2 linked regions of the Rhinolophus ferrumequinum genome follow. The protein of the gene in region 1 binds, or shares a complex with, the protein of each later gene. Links are inferred from orthologs where the notes say so. Each region holds a gene or a part of one and is shown in the gene's direction. Other genes may lie near its edges.

Region 1 (9,670 bases):
TGGTTCCTACTTTCTAAGTTTGTACATGGAAAGGAGCACGTGTAAGCACTTAGCATGAGGCCCACGTAGTAGGATCTCAAAAAATGCGCCAGGTTTGAAGATCTTCAGAGATCTTTAAGAAGCACTTATAGTTCACGATATGTGTGAAATATTAAGTACTGCATTCACTTAATGATTATTTAAGAAGGAATAACATGCGTTGTACATGATCAATTCATATCTAAAAGCATGTAAGTAAGCAATTCTGATGGTACGTCATCTTTACCATTCTGCAAATTTGAGGGAAAAAGGAGTGCTGTGTTTAGGACACTGTGCTATGGGATGTTTCCCAAGCTTGTTTTCAAGTTCCATGTGGTTTTATAAGGAAGTACCGAATCCTAACGTAATGATAGAACAAGCTCATGCAGTAAGATAAATCTGAGAGATTGGTTACTTCACACAGTGAGTCAGTAAACATTTCCAATATCCTAAAGATACCCATCGATGCCTATTTCTCTTTAGCAGGTCACTGTGGCAAACTCCTCAAAGTTTAAAAAACAAACATGCTTTTCATTATCTTACTGGATTAATCTCTGAATCTGAAAAATAATGACAAATTTGACCTAAAGTAAATACTCTTTATGTGTTAAGTTGCAAAATATTGGTATGCTCTTGTCCCCAATCTCCTGGATTGTGCCACTGTTCATACTCACTTCCTCAGTGATAGTATCCAGGCTTTAAACACTGTCTATCAGCTAATGCCTGCCAAACACACGTGGGCAGCTCAGACTTGAGTATTCTCTCCACACTTGATTATTGAACTGCCTCCTGGACATTTCTTCTAACTGCCTAATAGACATCTCACACCCATCATGTTCAAAACTGAACTCCTGGTCTTCCTTTCAAATCCTGCTCTGCTCCACTCTTTTCAGTTCAGTTAATGGAATGGCATTTCCATCCTCCAGTTGCTTATGCTCACTTTGCATTCATTTTTGACTCCTCCATTTCTCCCACCAGCCCTTTCTAACCTGCTGGGAAATCCTACTGGCTTTACCTTCAGAATATACCTAGGACTCTCTAACGTCTCTCAATCTCAACTGCTACCAGCCCTAGTTCAAGCTTCCACTGCCTTTGGCCTGGATTGCTACAGTTAGCCTCCAAAGTGGCCTTCCCTTCCACTTTTGCTTCCCTTAGTCTACTCTCAAACCAGCCAACAAATGGATTCGTAAACCCTGCAATGGCTTTCCTGCTCACTCTGCTCCAGCTACACTGACAGACTTGCTGTTCCTTGAACATGCTAGGTAGGCACACTCCTGCCCTGGGGTCTCTGCCATGGCTTTTCCTCTGCTTGGTCAGCTATTTCCCAGATCTGCCCACGGCCCACTCCCTCACCTCTTTCAAGTCTTTGCTGAAATGCCACCTTCTCAATGAGACTTACCTTGACTACCATATTTTAAATGGCAAACCACTCAACACACCCCCAAGCGATCCTCTTACTTTACTCCACTTTTCCTAGCACAATCGCTAGTCGGTTTATTTGTTTGTTTATCCTGTCTTCTTGCAATATAGACTCCATGATTGTGGGATTTTTGTTTGTTGATGCATCCCCCAGGCTAGAATTAGTGTGGCACATGGGGACACTCAAATAAATATTTGAGGATACAAATAATTTTAACGAGTTCCCTCACATCCTTGAATGTGCATATACTCCGGTAGAAAGGCAGCATATACAAACGAAAAGATAAGTATCAATACAAGATAATTAGCATATGCTGACAAATACCAAAAGATGGTAATGTTTTAGGCTATTACATAGGACAAATGAAAGCTCGGAGGAGTGCCACAGAAGTTCAGAGAGGTAATTTTTAAATTTGGCAGGAAGGTAGTCACACCTCTTTGAAAATCTGATGAAAGCTATAGACTCCCATGATCCAATGAACATGTACACACAATTTTGAATATAATTACAAGGAGTTCAAACCCGCCCTGAAGCCAGCCATGAACTGGGAATTGAGAATTCTTGACTTTAAACATGGTTTTATCACCCAGGGCTTGGGACAGGCTTGGTGAAGATAGAACTTAAACTAATTCTTGAGGAACAGGCTATGAAAAGGAAAATAAAGGAAAGAAGGTTCTTTTCAAGCAAAAGAAAGAGCTAAGGGTGACAGCAGAACAGTTTGACTGGAATGAGGGATTTATGCAATACTTAACAGGCCAAGAACTGCTTGGTGTATAACTTAAATACGTATATGAATTTTGCAAATCACTGAAAGTGTTTGGGCAAGAGAATATATGTCTAAAGTATTGTTTCAATAAAATTAATTTGGAAGTTGTTTATAGGAGCAAAGTTGAGAGAAAAAGTGAAATTAAGGAAATCATTCATAAAGCCATTTTATAATGATTCAAGTTTGAAGAAAAGGAAAGTGAACCGATAAGGTTTAGAGAATAATGAATTTGAGGCACAAATCCAATTAGAAATGCCTGGTTTGAAACTGAAAATCAGAAATGAACTTCAGATCGGGCCCAGTTATATAAATTCAGGTGTTATTTACTGAATCTTTGAGTGTGGTGGAAAAAAAATTACAAGAGAAAAAGTATTAAGAATACAGATTATTCGGGGGACGGCCTGTGGCTCAGGCGGTTGGAGCTCCGTGCTCCTAACTCCGAAGGCTGCCGGTTCGATTCCCACATGGGCCAGTGGACTCTCAACTACAAGGTTGCCAGTTCAACTCCCGCAAGGGATGGTGGGCTATGCCCCCTGCAACTAGCAATGGCAACTGGACCTGGAGCTGAGGTTCGATTCCCACATGGGCCAGTGGACTCTCAACTACAAGGTTGCCAGTTCAACTCCCGCAAGGGATGGTGGGCTATGCCCCCTGCAACTAGCAATGGCAACTGGACCTGGAGCTGAGGTTCGATTCCCACATGGGCCAGTGGACTCTCAACTACAAGGTTGCCAGTTCAACTCCCGCAAGGGATGGTGGGCTATGCCCCCTGCAACTAGCAATGGCAACTGGACCTGGAGCTGAGCTGCGCCCTCCACAACTAAGACTGAAAGGACAACAACTTGAAGCTGAACGGCACCCTCCACAACTAAGATTGAAAGGACAACAACTTGACTTGGAAAAAAGTCCTGGAAGTACACACTGTTCCCCAATAAAAGTCCTGTTCCCCTTCCCCAATAAAATTAAAAAAAAAATAAGAGGAGAGATCAAAAGATACATAGAAACAAATGCAAATGAAAATACATCCTACCATTAAAAAAAAAAATACAGATTATTCAAAGGCTTTGGATGAGACAAAGTGAACAGCCTATTATTGTAATCACAATAAAATATGTTGAATTTATATAGAATAGAACTTTAATAGGATGCTCGAGGTATACATGTATTATGGGTAATTGAAAATTGTGGTTGAGGGCTAATAAAATTTTTTGTTTTAATTTTTGCTTGCTATTTTTTCCTCCAAAAAGTATTATTATGCTTTTTTCTTCCTTGATAACTAGGGAACGCAGCTGAATTATTTTTAGATGATTCAGGATGTCACTATCCTATAAGGTGATCATCATAAATACTATTTTCAATGTAAAATCACTATAGAAAATTGGGATAAATCCTTGGTGACCACAGAAGACATCCAGGTATTTAAAGACTTCTGATTATCTATTTGACTTTTAGGTAAATGCAGATAGCATCAAAACAATACAAAATTTAAATATTTAGGGATCTATTGAGTGGGATTTGACTCTCGCTTTTTTGCCAACGTGCACAAAGGATACAGGATGTTAGTGTCAAGTGCATTATTACATCATTGGTAGAGTTTCCACTGGCATCTACCTGCTTTGTAATACATAAGATGTTTATGATCTGGACTCTTCTTACTTTAGAACTTACCTGCTCCAGTCTTTGTGACGCTCCAGCTATGATTTGAACTTAAAGAAATAGTTCATTTTTGGTGTAACAAATGTTGGAATGCCCGCCCCAAATTCTATCAGAATGTTTCTGTCACATTAGAACCTTCCTCATTCTAGTGCAACATGCCAAGAAAACCAGGTATAAAATGACACTTGTTTAATCTTCAACACGTACACCTGTCCTTATATATCTAGACAGAGTGCAGTATATGCATACAACTATGCCCAGTAAACAATTTCGCAGATTCCACTTGAGTCTTTTTTTTTTAAATCGATGATCTCTAATTTTATTAAGGGCTCTTAATAAAAGATTGAGCAAAAGAAGTGAATCCTGCTTAGAATTCCTGCTCTGGGTCCCAAAGCCATTCTCCTCCCCAACCCCTTTTCTCTAAACACCTGGTGAAGACAGACTTAAGAAACAAGTGCTCACAACCCACTTTCCTTAAAATTAGCCAATGCTCACTATAATAGGTATTCAGATATTTAACTGCAAACACATATTCTCTCTGTGTGTATATACTGTATTCCTCTCCCTCCACCCCGCCTAAAAGAAATGGTGAAGCGCAAAACTAAGGTCTTTCGGTACCTTTTCGGAAACTGACTTAGGGAGGTGCAGAGGGGATCCAGACGATTGTGCGGGGTGTCTGAAGGGAGGCCCCGGCGGGGGGGGAGGGGAGACGGGGAACCGGCCCTCGCAGCCTCCGGATGCTCCTGCACCCTCCCGAAGGGAGAACACCGGGGCTCCGCCCTCCGCTCTCGGTACCCCACGTGCTGACTCCCTAGGGGGCAGCTGCCGAGGCGGCTCTCTTTCTTTGCTCTTCTGGGTGCCGGGGCCCCTCAGAGCAGGGCCGCAGGCAGCTGAGGAGGCCACTCACTCCGAGTTCACCTCAGCGTTCCCGACCGCGGCTTCTACCTACCAACTCGGCCCTTGCCGGGCGGCGGACACAGCCACACGACTAGCCCGCCCCCGGGCGGAGCCTGGCCTCACCTGCACCGCGGCGGGGCCGCCCCAGGCCGCGCCCAGAGGAGGAGCCTGCGGACGCCCCGCAGCGTGGAGCGCGCCAGGTGAGCACGCCTGCGCAGTCAGGCCGTAAACAAGCCCGCCCCTTCCCCTCGGCCAGCCTCCGCTGGGCCGGCTCGCGAGTGGGAGGGGCCAGGAGGAAGAGCTGGAGGGAGAGGAAGGCGCCTGCGCGGTGGGCGTGATCCGGGCACTTGGGGCAGGATGAACGCTGCTTTCCAAGATGGCGACGGAGGGAGGAGGGAAGGAGATGAACGAGATTAAGACCCAATTCACCACCCGGGAAGGTCTGTACAAGCTGCTGCCGCACTCGGAGTACAGCCGGCCCAACCGGGTACCCTTCAACTCGCAGGGATCCAACCCTGTCCGCGTCTCCTTCGTAAACCTCAACGACCAGTCTGGCAACGGCGACCGCCTCTGCTTCAATGTGGGCCGGGAGCTCTACTTCTATATCTACAAGGGGGTCCGCAAGGTACCGACCCGGGCGTCACCGGGGCCACCCAGCGGCGTGGGCAGAGGCCGGGAGCAGGGCGGTGACAGCGGGGGCCAGGTTGACCGATAGGGGTGGCCGTCGCTCTTACTTCTGAGTGGGCCGGTAACTCCACTGGGGTGCCCCTGCGGAAGGGGGATTCGGGAGTGAGCCGGCTGGTGGCGGTGGCGTTTCGAAGGTATGGGGGCGGTAGAAAGGGACCGTGGGGTGCGGGGTTCGGTCTGGGAGGCCCCGGGAGGGGCCGTCTGCCTCTCCTCTGGCAGGGTCCGTCAGGCTCTGACACGGCCAGGGAGCGGGCCTGCGAGTCCCCGGAAGAGGTGGGGTGGCCGACTAGTCTACTTAGGTTGCCTCGCCTCCCGGGAGGGTTGGGAGTCTCGCTCTGGGTTAGAGAACAGGCGGCTTGGGAAGGTCTGTAAGGCGGAACCCGGGCTGGGAAGGAGAGGACTTGAGACTAGGTCAGAAAGGACCTGCTGGGCACGAAGGGCCACTCCACCTGCTGCCGCACTGACACTTCCTAGGAGCCTCTCCTGGTGTTGACACTCTATTTACAAAAACACCCGAGGGAGGACTGCTGTCACTGTCTCTGCCGAGGGAACCTTCTGAGAGGTTGTTAAAGAGGGTCATCTTGTCCCTTCTAGTATGGGAGGGCTGATTACTACAGTTGTGAGGTCGAAAGGATGTTGTCAATGAACTAAGGTGGTTCATAAGGGTTCGGTGTGAGCGTGCCCAGATCAGTCTTGTCCAACAAGTCAGACTATGTCCCAAACAGGGAGGGCTATGCCTTAAAAGCTACTTTACCAGAACCATTCTTGGCAGGCGACTTAACAGTAATTCTGTGAAGCATGTAATCATCCTTTAAAAATAATCTCTTTAAAAGAAGCAACTTATTAGAGCTTTTCTTTCATTGGCAACATAACTTTGTTCTCATTGAGAACTGTTTTTGAGATATGCGTTCTTTGACTTGACTCTTGGAAGAGAGGAAATTAAAATGTACTCCACAGCACCTAGGCATGGGAAAAGGTGATAACAGATTTAGAAATGTTCGGTTAGTGTAAAAATAAATTGTATATACTGAAGAGTGAACATTCTCTAAGTGTTAATAGCCAGAACAGGTTGCTTTTGCTTGGTTAAAAAAACTAGGGAATGACAGTGCTATCTAAATGACAGTGGTAGCAAGTTGTCTCATTTGTTCAAGGTGAATCTTTGTTGTTAGTGTTTGTGATAAGTGTACCATTCACTGTCTTTGAAGTATGCTGTTATAAGTTACTGAAAGCACACCGCTTGGCCTTACTTTTTCTCTTTTGGAACTAGGAAAGTGAAGTCATTAGACTAGGAGCTGAAGTTTTAGTCCTACTCCCAACTTTGTCACTGACTTGCTGGGTGACCTTGGACAAGTTATTTAACTTCTTTCTGGACCTTTTAAAAGGAGAAATGCTGCAGTACGCATGCTGTGATGTATAACATAAAGACTAATGAGCTTTAAAGCCCTGAAACAGTAGATGTAAAATATAGTTAAAATAAGCAGTAAGAGTAACTGTCAAGCGGGAAGCTTCTATCTTGACATTGGTACTAGGACCGAAAGGATCAGCTTTTTCTCTGGAAATAAGTTTGGAATTTTAAGTTAATAAATTTTATTTATATAAAGATACAAAAAGTGCTTAAAAACTAAATTTACTAGTAATTACTAGTGTAGGCATCACCATTTTTTAAAAAAGTTTTCTTTGAAAGTATATTATTTCTGGAGCATTCCAGTAGCAAACCTTATCTGGATCTGGCAGCCCTGGTTTGCATCATAAAAACAGGCCCCTTGCCTGAAAGTATCACAACAGTGTTCTCCTTTAGTGGGATGCTAACAGTGAAGGGTAAAACTTAGGGGAGCCTTTCAAAACCACCAAAAAATGATTTTGAACAAGACAAAAATCTTAAACATGCAAATTTGCGTTTAGTTGTGTAATGTAGTTGAGCACTTTAATTTTTTGGTGACATTTCATTTTCATGTGGTAATATCTTGTATTAAATACATTTGTATCTTGTAGATACACATGGTGGACGTTGCAACTCTCTTCTAGCCATTGTAATTAAAACATTTTTTTCCCTATGAACGAATTGGTTTATTAGTTTTGAGTACAGATGATTGTTTTTGTGACTCTGTTTTCTGATTTTAAAACAGAGCACATAATTTTCCTTAATCAGTAACCCAAACTGACTTTTTGGAGTTAGGCATTATACAGCAGATTTTTTTTTTTTTTTTTTTTTAAGATTTTATTGGGGAGGGGGCGCAGGACTTTATTGGGGAACAGTGTGTATTTCCAGGCCTGTTTTTCCAAGTCAAGTTGTTGTCCCTTCAGTCTTAGTTGTGGAGGGTGCCGTTCAGCTTCAAGTTGTTGTCCTTTCAGTCTTAGTTGTGGAGGGCGCAGCTCAGCTCCAGGTCCAGTTGCCGTTTTCTAGTTGCAGGGGGCATAGCCCACCATCCCTTGCGAGGAATTGAACCTGCGACCTTGTGGTTGAGAGGACGCACTCCAACCAACTGAGCCATCCGGGAGCTCAGCGGCAGCTCAGCTCAAGGTGCCATGTTCAATCTTAGTTGCAGGGGGCGGAGCCCACCATCCCTTGAGGGAGTCGAGGAATCGAACTGGCAACCTTGTGGTTGAGAGCCCGTGCTCCAACCAACTGAGCCATCCGGGAGGCAGCTCAGCTCAAGGTGCTGTGTTCAATCTTAGTTGCAGGGGGCGGAGCCCACCATCCCTTGCAGGACTCGAGGAATTGAACTGGCAACCTTGTGGTTGAGAGCCCACTGGCCCATGTGAGAATCGAACCGGCAGCCTTCGGAGTTAGGAGCATGGAGCTCCAACCGCCTGAGCCACCGGGCCGGCCCCTATACATCAGTTTTTGACAGTTGGTCATTTTGACTATTTTTTTTCCGTTTTTCTTCGGGGCATATAAAGTTTTACAACAGTTTTCAGATCATTCAGAAGATCAAATTTGGATGAGTATATTCAACTTAAACCTGCATGTAAAATGAGTGAGAATAGCCTCAGAAAAAACTGAAATCATGAACTCTGTGCTGCCATTCCTGAGAGGAAGTAAGGAATCATGGGGGAGTGGAGTAGATGGGGAGGTAGCCTAACATCTAAGTCCAGGAGAGTAATCTTGGCCCTTTTAAAACATGTACAGGTCAGTTTCTAGAGCTCAAACGGACCTCAGAGGTTATGCAGTCTCACCCCCTCAGAGAAAACCAAGGCGAGAGAGCATGTGCAAACCTGTGTTGCAGCGTTTTCTCACGGAAAAATGAAGCACACCGAACCCAAAGACCTGTCTTAATAAGAAGAGACTGATCAAGTTTTTTGGTTGCACAGATGCCATATACTTCAAGTATTTCAGAATTTACGCCAGCATTCTGCGTATATTATCTCATTGAATCTTGGTGGCACTCACAATCAAAGTTTGGAATGGAGTTTCTTATGTGAGGAGATGTAATTTTATGAATTTATTTTGCTCAACTCAAGATAATGTGAACATTGATTTAATACTGGTACTAATCATTTCAACAAAGATTTGAGGGACTTATGATACTTATACTAGGCAAGGAGATACGGGGTTTCAAAAGATGAGTAAGACCCTGCTGCTCCCCAAAGGACATTCATTCAGCTGCTAACTTTCAAGCCTCTTTAGAGCATACTTTGCTTTCCTCTTTTTAAAAAGGTTGTTTTAGGATAAAGATGCCAAAGGTAGCTGGATTATTGGACTTACCTTTCATTTTGTGGAGACCTGTTTTAACATAAATGTGAATGGCCACCATTCAGATCTCAGCTGAAACATCACTTCCTCAGCAAATCCTTCGTTGAATTCCCAGGCTAGATCAGTTGTTTTCTCTATTACGTGTTCTCATAGCATCCTGTACGTTGCTTTTCTAGCACTTTTTAAACTTTGTGATTCTCTGGGTAACCGTCTCTTCTATAAACAAAGCTCCCTTAGAATAGGGACCACGTCTTTTCTGCTTTCTCTGTCTTCCTACTGCCCAGCAGTGACCAACACAGAGTAGGCCCCTACTATTTATTTGTTGAGTAAATAACTGAATAAACATCCATGTCCATCTATGTCATACTTTAAAAAGATCTTTAGAAGCTGAAAAACCTATTCAATTTGGGCCCCAAAGTAACAGTTATTTTTAGTAGCTCATATCTTTTTAAAGACATTTAAAATTATTGTTAGTAGGTTACAAATTTAGCTTTCTTGCAACTGGGAAATTATGTAGCAAGAGACAAGAAGT
Region 2 (9,670 bases), on another chromosome or scaffold:
TTAAGCCTAGATTTCAGTAATGACAGTTTTGGGGTATATCCGCTATATGCCATCCTGCCCAGCAAATCAGTCACATATCCATTATGCAGATGACTCAGCTTTGCTCATCTGATTAGAAGTCAGCTTTGAAAAGTAAGTGGCTGGTTTGTTGATTCAAACAACAAAAGAACATCACTGTTTTGATTAACATCTACCTTTGGACAGCTGGATGATGTTCATGTATGTCACCTAGAAAGCTGATTCATTCAACTGTGAATGGGGAGGGTAGAGCAGGGGAGAGATCCGGCATTTTCAAGTCAGAGTGTCTGGGAGTGGACCCCCGTTCTGCCCTGGCTGGGCTGCACCGTGGTGACTGTGCTAAAAGGAGCAGGAAGTGATTGAGCTCAAGGGCGTTGGAGGGGTTACATTAGAAAATGCATCTTAAGTACTAATTAGGTGCCTGGCATATAGCAGAGCCTCATTACGTCTGAGGGAGTAATCTGGCAGCCTGAGGGGCTGTATTTGCCCCCCTTGACTTTTAAAATGTTGACTCTGAATGGCCATTCAGAGCTCTCCAGTTTGTGCTGCGGGCCAGGCCCTATTCTAAACATGCTCCATGCTTTATCCTCGGAGGTGGCCATAATCGTTACTCTTATTTTCTAGATGAGGAAAGCGAGACAAAGAAATATCTATTTGAGTATATTTTGTAGCTAAAACCTTCACACCAGTCCCAAAGGAGTCAGTGTCTCTCACGCTTATTCTACTAGCATCACATGAGCTGGCGTAGCAGAGCTGATACAAGTGTGGCCTCTGGAGCCAGGTTCAGTTCTCCCACGAGTTGTGTCATCTTGTGCAGGAGAAGAAAACTTTTCCCTTCTTCCCTTCTAGGTTCTTTGGCTGGTCTAATAAATTGACATAAGCCAGATTAACAGGAGGAAAAACAATTTAATTTGTACGTAGAGGAGCTCATAGAAATATGAGACTCAAAGAAGTGACCAAAGCAGGCAGTTTATACACCTTTTTTAGACAAAGAAAAATACGTGTGAAGAATTGACAAAACAAACGGGTTTGGGCTTGGGGTAGCTGTTGAGTGGAGAAGTACCAAGTTTTGTTTATGTAGCATTCTGGCCTTGAGTTCCCATGTCTGGTGATAAGGGTGTCTCTCTACGTCCTGGTACCGGGAGACCTTGCACATGGGAGATGTATCTCCTGCTTTCAAGGACTCAGGGGGCTCAGGGTATCTTTCTTGGACTGGCTGCAAGTAACTTTAATTCAAAATAATCAATATGCCAAAGTGGTATATTTGGGGATGGCATATTGTGCTCCCACTCACTTGGGAAAGGTATCTCTGTGCCTTAGTTTCCTTATCTAGAAAATGGGGATGACGATAATAACAGCATCTACTTCCCTGTGTTGTTATGAAGATTTGATAAAATGCTAGGTGTAAAGATAAGCACTGCCTGTCATTATGGGTGCCTTACACACTCTCTCTACCCTCTCCCACCACTTCCTTCCCCACTCCATCACAGGCAGCATGTCATGTATGTTAGCACCGTCAGGCAGAAGAGAGATGGCGAAATATATGAAGCGACATGTGGTTAGCGGGGAGACAGGATGAGTAACAGAAATATTTGGTGGTTTGCAAGGAACTGGACAGCAGAGGGTTGTGTAAAAGTATTCAAATGAAACAATTTTTAAAAATGTGCTGACCAAATGGATTAAGCTGGTCTCTAGTTTGTTTACTTGCTTGATCCCTGAGGTTATCTGGGTCTATTTTGTAGCTTACACTCTCAGGAAGGACCAAAAGAAATCGTTTGTATACAAGCTCATCTTTCTCTAGACACAATGAAGCTCTCTGTAAAACTTATATAGCTGCAGGTAAAACCTGTGTTCTAAGCCCAGATGACCGTCTCCAAGCTCTGGGTGCCAAAGTGTGGCGTTTCAGCCAAATCTTACCTTCAACTGCATTACATATGGTAATGTAATGGTGAAAACACCCAAGGAAAGCCCAGCACACAAAAGACTCTCTGTTTGTGCCTCTCCCATTAACCTTAGGCTGGAGAGACAAGGCACTGTGAGGTTCTGCAGTTAGGTGTTATGGTATCTCCTGCAAATATAGATGGCTGTAACATCAACTAAGCACCACTCCAGATAATTCTATCAGAAGCTTATGTATAAAGCTGGTGGCCTCTGTTCCTGTGACATTTTAGGATTCACGAACATGGAGGCATGGTAGTGGGCAGCGTAGAGGGAGGCGGGGGCTCAAATTCTGGCACTTTAGACCTGTTTGCTGGAACAAGTAGGGAGGACAATAGACATTTATCCAAATAGGCGAGACAGGGTCCCAGGGCATGGTGACACTGGGGGGAGGCCCAGGCAGGTCCTGGAGGCCTAAGCAGGATGGAACACAAGACAGACTTCCAAGTCTAGGCAGGAAACAGCCGCATACCTGAATGCCTGGAGTGACAAACAAGGTCCTCGTCACTGGCTTTGGGTATCAGGCAAAGAGGGAGTGCCCCAGCGTCCATGGAGGCAGGTGCCTGGAGAACCAGGCCAGCTACTATGGGATTGAGCTATGTTCTATTTGCATTTTCCCCCCAAGCAAGCTTATAATGGAAATCACTATGGAAACACTATTCATGCATCAGAAATCTATTTTTCACCTAGATTTTTGTTCGAATGTTTTGTTTTGTTCTTTGAATGCTTTTTTGAATGAGGTAAAGCATATCTGATTTTAGAAGTTTGTCTGAATTCAATTCTATCAGAAGCTCAGCCCCACTGAAATGGGGGAACCCAGAAAAGCACCCCATCACTGTATTTCACCAATCGAAAAATATCACAAGCTTTCTAATTTATAAAGTTATTCTATTAACTTGAACTACTTTCTCAAATAGGAAGAAATAAAGCTGAGTTGCTTGATACGAAGAAAAGGGTGCAATGATCAATTTTATGAAAGTAGAAAAGAGGAACTATACCACTAGCTAACGCTACTTAAATATTTCTCACCGGGCATTTTTCTCACTTGCTAGACTTCATGTCTCGGTAACATCATTATCACTGCTGGGTTGAGATCTTCCCTATTTTGCAACTCAATTTTCTGAATGAATATATTTAGAAACTATATTTATAAACATACTCTAAATTTATGGCCAACAGGCAGGCAAAGAGGCAGCTTTGCCCTCCACCCTCCACCCCCCCTCCCATTACTTACCTTTCTTCTTCATTCAAAGAGCTAAACATAGTTTCTTCTTTGCTTGCCTCTTTCATTTTCTATTTAGTCTTGCTAAGTTAGGGATTTTTGACCCATAAGTTAGGGGATTTTGACCCCGGTAATTCACCTACTATATATTAATATAAAAAGATACAAACCACTGGTAAGTGCTTGGGACGTTGGGTTTCCTGGGTTATTTTAACTGTGCAGAAGCAAGTTTCCTCCCATCCCACTCAGAATTACCAGATCACCGCCCCCGTTATTTGTTTCAGCAGTGCGGAATACCTGTCGGGTCGCCCTTGTTGGAGCCTGCGATCAGCCCCTTCCAGGATTTACACAGGTGGCCTCCGAGGCGACCCGCACCTCCCCGGGTAGCTCCTCCCAGCCAGGGTTAGGGCTGCCGCGCAGGCTCTAGGACCGCGACGCGGGCAGGAGGCGGTGCCTGGCCGAGAGCCGGGCGGGGCCGGCTCCAGAGTCCCCCGCAGGCGCACCTCAGGCGGGAGAGTCGTGCGCCGGGGGAGTGGGCGGGGCCGCGCGCAGGGCGGTCCTGGCGCGCGGAGTGGGCGGGGTTCCGCGTGGGGCGGTCCCCGTACGCGGCGGGTGGGGGGGGCGCGCCGCTGGGCAGCGCAGCTGCGGGGCAGACCGGGCATTAGGGCCTCAGCGGAGCCCGCTCCTCAGCGCGCTGGGCGGGGTGTGCGGCGGGTGGCTTCGCTGGCAGGCGCGGGCCCGGAGGCAGCGGCTGCGCCCTGCGCCGGGGAGGAGCCGGGGGCGGGCGGCCGGCAGGCGGGGGCTGGGGCCCGAGGCGGGGAGTGCCGGAGCGCCCGCGGCGACGACGGCAGCGGCGGCAGAGCAGGCTCCGTGCGTGGGTCCGCGGCGGCTCGGGGTCCGCCCGCGGGCCGTAGTGTGAGCGGGCGGCCGGGCTCCCTTCCTCCCCCGCCCGCTGCCGCCGCCGCCGCCACTGTGATTGGGTGGAAGATGGCGCTGGGCGGATGGAAATCCTAATGACAGTCTCCAAATTCGCCTCCATCTGTACCATGGTAGGTGCGGCGGGAGGGCAGCCGGGGCGACCCGGGATCCCTGGGGCGGGCGGGCGGTGCGGCCCTGGTCCCCGCCACTCACCCGGGTGGTCCGCGGAGCCGGGTCGTGAGGCGGCAGGCGGGCGGGGGCGGTTGGACTCCGGCGGGCAGGGGGCGCGGGTATTAGCGGCCCCCCGGGAGGGGGAGGCGGCGGGCGAGCCTGGGCGGCTCGAGGGTGACCAGCGAGGGGACACCGGTGCTGGACGTAGCGGGGAGCGGGCACTGGTCTCCAGCGCCCCGGCGCTCAACTGCTGAAGTCTTCCCGCGGCGCCGGGGCCGAGCGGCGGGGAGCGCCGGGCTGTGGGCGCGCGAGCTGGAGCGCGGTCCCGGCTGGGGTCGGAGGTGGAAGGACGCGGAGCGGCGCGCGCCGTTTCCGTCTGGCGGTGCGCGGAGCGGGGAGGTGGCCCTGGGCGCGGGTGGGGGTCCGCCGGCAGGAAGGCAGGGTCTCGTTCCTGCGGGAGAAAGGACGGAAGTCAAGTGCAGATTTCCTTCCCGCGGCGCGGGCGAGGCCGAGTCCCCCACCCGGTGCTCTGGAGAAGGGGGTGTGTATGAAGGTGGAAACTTTAAATAAGTGCTGTGGAAAATTTCCCCATTTCTACTCTGAGAGCGACGAGCTCTCCTTTTTCCAACCGTGTGTCCAGGTGGCAGTCTTGTCTTTGGGAATCCACGATAATATTGAAAACAGCTTAAGCTTTCCTGTCATTTGTTTACTTGATACACCGGGCACATCTGTGTGTGGCTCGAAGTAGTTCTGTGCAGGGACTGACTGCGAGCGTTATTGTGTGTGTTTTATCGGAGTTTTTAAATAGACTCTGACAGCGAAGTGCTAATGCCTGTGGAAAAGTCCCGAATGAAGCAAAACGTGGGTGCGTGTAAATCTCGGTGTTTTTGTGCTTAGGCAGAAGCACAATTTTCCACACGATGGGGCAAATTCGTTTCATTAGTTCTGTGAGGCTACATCTAGGGATCATAATTAGGAGCCGTTGCAGAAAAAGTTATTCTTTGCAACGTGGGCCTGGTGATCATGTTACTGAAGACTTCTGAAATCTTTCCTTCTGTCTATAGGAGGTCCCCAAACAGTCTTCCATTGAAGGGTGAGGCATTTTTATGTATCTTTTTTAAAGGAGTGGTGAGTCAGATCCAAAAGGTACTCTAGAAGCAGATTCTACACTGCTTTAGATGTTGATGAACAGTGTAAAAAATGGCCGAAATCAGGTGGGGTTAAAATCTGCAGGATTAAAGAAATCACATTGCATGAATCATTGGAGAATGCGTTTTCTGAAATAGATTTTTTTCCCTTCACAATTTATATTTTAGGAAGCACTGATATTAAAGGAACTGTATTGAAAGGATTTCTGAGGGTCATTTGGATTAATTATTTTTAGATATGCTGGTGATTATCTTACCATATTTCAAAAGGAATGTGATAATTAAGTCTTTGAAAGTGATAATCTTGCCAGATTGCTGAGCTACACGGATTGTCAGGTCATAGTTCATTGTCAAAGTCTAGTACTTCTGGAATGATGTGTTACTACTCTTTCCTAACCATTCATTCACACAGTATATCAGGTACACATTTGGCACCTACTTAGTGGTAGAGACTCAGTGCTGAGTGCTGGGGATGCAGCGGTGATCAAGACAGTCCCTGCTTTCATGGTGTTTACATTCTAGTTGAGGCGGACAGTATTCAAATGAACAGATTAATAACGCATGCTATAATCAGATTAGGAAACATGAGTAAGTGGGATTCTGATCTCAATGTCAGACTCCAAAGCTCTTTTTAGGGTTTCCGCTCTGGGGCATTGCATGTGGTGGGTGTGTATGGTTGGCGAATACAGAAACACCAACCAGTGCCTGGCCAAATGAGATTGTTCCAAAAGTAGTGTTAAAATTGCATCTATATTTATATTTGAATAAATTCTGATGTGTTTCTAAAGTAATGCAAATATCTGAAAGTAATCTGCAATGTTATTCTTTAAAGAAAACTGTAACCCACCTCCTGAGAATTACAAAATTGACAATCAAGAAAAGCAAAGATATTTGGCTCTCTGCCTTTGTAGATGCTATTTTGCTAGGCTTTGAACACTTCCCCCTTCCCCCTTTGTCAGTGAGTTCATACCTGACTGTCAGGCAGTTGACATTACTTGAATAATCCTTCCCCTGGCAATCCCTGTCCTGTCTTCCTTTTGTAATTTCACTGCTTTTTGTAATCTCAATAGCCTCGTATGTACTATGTTGTAAATTTTTCTCTCCTTTGCTTTTTGGATTGTGAAAGCCTCAAGGGGAAGGACTACCATTTATTTCTGCCCTTTGGTGGAGCACTAACTTCTGCATACAATAAAACAGTTTCCCCACTCCCTCTTTTCCTACCAGTAAGTGAGGACGAGATTGGGATGTGTGTGGAGTGGTGGAGGGGCTGCACCTAAAGATAGTTCTCAGAATCAGTAGCTGTGAAAACATTTATGATGAATTGAGATTTTATTCCGTAAATAATAAAGTTTATAAAGTTTTCATTAGGCAATGTAAGGTACCTGGGCAAAGTGGCACTACCAGGGTTGGGTAACTTTTTCTGTTAACAGCAAATCTTCAGATATGTGTTACTCTAGATCACTCTTGTTCTGCTACATGTGAATATTAGTAAAGTTTGTTTTTCCTAAATTAGCCTGACCCAAACGAGTGATTGTTTAGATTGCAATGAATTCATTTGCAAAGGTATCTCTAAAAATGCCTCTTATTTGTCCGTGAAAAAATACATTGTCAGTATTGCACAGTGTTTGTTTTGCCTCTGAAGTGGCTTCGAACTTCAGGGCCTGGCACAGAGTAGTTACCTAATATTTAATATTATGCTTAATAATTGTGAAATAATGGGAAAAGTGGCCGAAAACATACTCGTATAGAGAGGCCTATGTTTTGAAACTGAGGTGGAAGTTATGGAGCAGTTTTTGGTGGTCTGGGACCGGACAGTGACACGGGCCATGGCTGTTGCATGGAGGTCGGTACTCCCGGCAGGAGGGCTCCTTAATTGTCAGCTAGCTCCCACTGTGATAATTACACTCTCTTACTGTGTGGCTTGGGGAGGGGATAGGACAGAGCAGAGGTTGTTGCAGGGATAGGTGGCACTGGCCTGGCTGCTACTTGCCCATCCCCAGTCACAGGGTGAGATAGAACAAGGTGGCAGTGCGGCCAAGGCCACAAGTTAGCTGCCAGGGGGGTCTGACATCTGACAGGTTTGCCTGAACAAGCCTGTACCTAGCACAGCACCCTGTGCCTGGTAAACTTGCATCTACTTATGGGAGGAAAGTCACAGGTGAAGCTGGCTATTTGTCTTCTTTTTCACTGGCATCAGTCACTCACTACCAGTTAGATGTGGGTCTGTCAAAGCACTCCAGAAAGAAAGGTAAGGGAGCAAACAGCTCAAAGCCCTTGCCTTGTTGAGGGGGGTGGTTTGATAGTCTCCTCTTCAAGTAGTCAGAATATTGTGTTAAGTAATAAAATTCCTGGTTCTATCTCAAGAAATACGGGGGATGAAATTTTTGTGTAAGTAAAATATGTAATTGATTCTTACTGATACTTTATTAGTCAAATAGTGTCTCTATGATAGGCACATTCAAAGTGAGCTGCCATTGTTTTATTAATTTTTGCTGTTTTTACTGAGAGTGTTAATTTAAGAGGGATGAAAACTTCAGAAATAAGGAGTCTTCTATCAGGGATAAATGTTGGTTAAATGCTGACAAGGAATGTGTAGCACGTATTTGAGGAGGCTTAGTAGAGAACATTGAGCATAAGTGTTATGAATTTTTATTTAAGCCTGCTGATCTTTTGAATTTGGTTAGAATACGTTTTGGACATTAAAAATTACACGTTCTTATTATAGAAAATTTGGAAAATACTGTATAAAACAGAGTTTGGAACCTCTTAAGAAAGCAAAAAGAAAATATTTTGAACTTCCAGAGCATATTTTGTCTTTTTAAAAAAACCCTTAATTGAGCTTATACCCTAGATAAAATTTTACATTTAATTTGCCCCATGAATGATGGATTGTTTTGTTAGGTTTAAAATTTGTACTATTTCAGAGAAGCATGGAGAGTTGAATGCTTTAAAATGATGATAATAGCAAGACTTGAACCCAGTAAGGCACAGTGATAAGCTACTGAGTCCTTGGCAGGTTATAATGATTATTAGAGGATAAAGTTATGTAGTTATAAGGGACGATGGGCTATTCTAATCGTAGGCACTTATTAGTTATTGCAAATAAAGGTAAGACCATTGGGATTTGAAACTTAAATATACTTAAAAAGCTTAGTTTTAAATACCATAATCACTTATGTGCTGCAATGTGTATAAATACTCTGGTCTTATTTTATATCATATGGCTTTGCTTACCTTCTGGTGGTTTTCTCCACCTACCTATGGCTAATCGTTTTATAATAGATCTCAAAATAGGTTAATTATCTACCCTACCATGAACCACCATGCGATGAGGCCAGTGTCAGCAAGACTTTATCACGTCTTCTTGTCTTGTTCGATTCTAGGCTTTTGACCAAGCCCCATAGGCATTGAGTCCACCCCCTTTTTGTCACTTACAAGTTCTTTCTTCCATAAAAGTCATATTTATTGTGGCTCTCCTGAAACTTTTACTGTCTCAGATTATTTAAGCATTTGTTTACTTAGCATTAATTCCTTTCCAGAAACCTTCATTTTTCAGATTTAAATAATCTAATTTTGTTTTGGTTTCTTTTTCAGTAGGTCAATTTCAGAAATTTTATATAGTATTTTGTTATGTATCCTCCAGCATGATGCACTAAAAAGGACAGTTGGATCAGAAAGTAAATTCTAGTGCAGATTTTGACGTTTAGATCTATATGAGGAAGTCTCGTAAAACTTTCTGAGTTGATTTTTCTCATATGTAAAAAAATAAAGGGATTGGATAATTATTCCTTATGTGTTTCCATCTAGATCTAAAACTCAGTGCTCTCTGATCCTCTGAGAGTTTACAAGTGATTATTGATATCATCATTTTGCGAGTGCTAATCATGTTTTAGATAATATGAAGAGCACGGAATTAGACATAGTTAAATATGAATCATGCGCAATTTCCCAGTTTTTCTTTTTAGTGTTACTGAATTTATGGAAAGTTACAGTCCAAAGTGAATGTATATTTTTTCCTTTAAAAGCATTTAGTGAAGGTTAGTGATATCACCGTTTTATTCATTAATAAGCTAATTCACATAGCTGTTGACTTATTGTTGACATTTTTTTTTTTTTTTGCTTTTTCAATGCCATTTAAAAAAGATTTGAATTGGTTCCCTTGTTTGACATGCCACATTTCTCTAGCTGTGAGTATGCCCTTGGACAACTTCTCTGTGCCACGATTTCTTATCTGTAAAATGGGGATAAAATAATA

What was found.
Region 2: the proteins of WDR20 (region 1) and USP12 are in contact, whole or in part, in a crystal structure (PDB 5K1C), measured with the Homo sapiens proteins. The link is inferred for Rhinolophus ferrumequinum from reciprocal best matches to the Homo sapiens genes WDR20 and USP12. Residues at the interface, in NP_653175.2 of Homo sapiens: Asn41, Ser42, Gly44, Ser45, Arg151, Ser170, Lys259, Ser260, Tyr261, Phe262, Gly263, Glu282, Asp283, Asp284, Leu285, His301, Lys304, Ser305, Trp306, Gln374, Asp375, Thr376, Arg516, Met517, His533, Glu534, Arg535; in NP_872294.2 of Homo sapiens: Glu207, Asn209, Thr210, Ser211, Thr213, His214, Arg217, Arg277, Val279, Phe280, Pro281, Leu282, Glu283, Leu284, Arg285, Phe287, Asp297, Met299, Gln342, Glu345, Tyr348, Thr351, Ser352.

Annotation. Positions count from the first base shown.
Region 1 is NC_046289.1:2,664,089-2,673,758, reverse strand, and holds the start of WDR20 (WD repeat-containing protein 20), read left to right. Parts: upstream 1-5,025; 5' UTR 5,026-5,133; coding exon 5,134-5,382; intron 5,383-8,574; coding exon of another isoform or gene 8,575-8,586; exon of another isoform or gene 8,587-9,670. UniProt on the Homo sapiens protein: Regulator of deubiquitinating complexes. Activates deubiquitinating activity of complexes containing USP12. Anchors at the base of the ubiquitin-contacting loop of USP12 and remotely modulates the catalytic center of the enzyme.
Region 2 is NC_046287.1:99,319,377-99,329,046, reverse strand, and holds the start of USP12 (ubiquitin carboxyl-terminal hydrolase 12), read left to right. Parts: upstream 1-3,921; 5' UTR 3,922-4,179; coding exon 4,180-4,227; intron 4,228-9,670. UniProt on the Homo sapiens protein: Deubiquitinating enzyme that plays various roles in the regulation of the immune response and inflammation.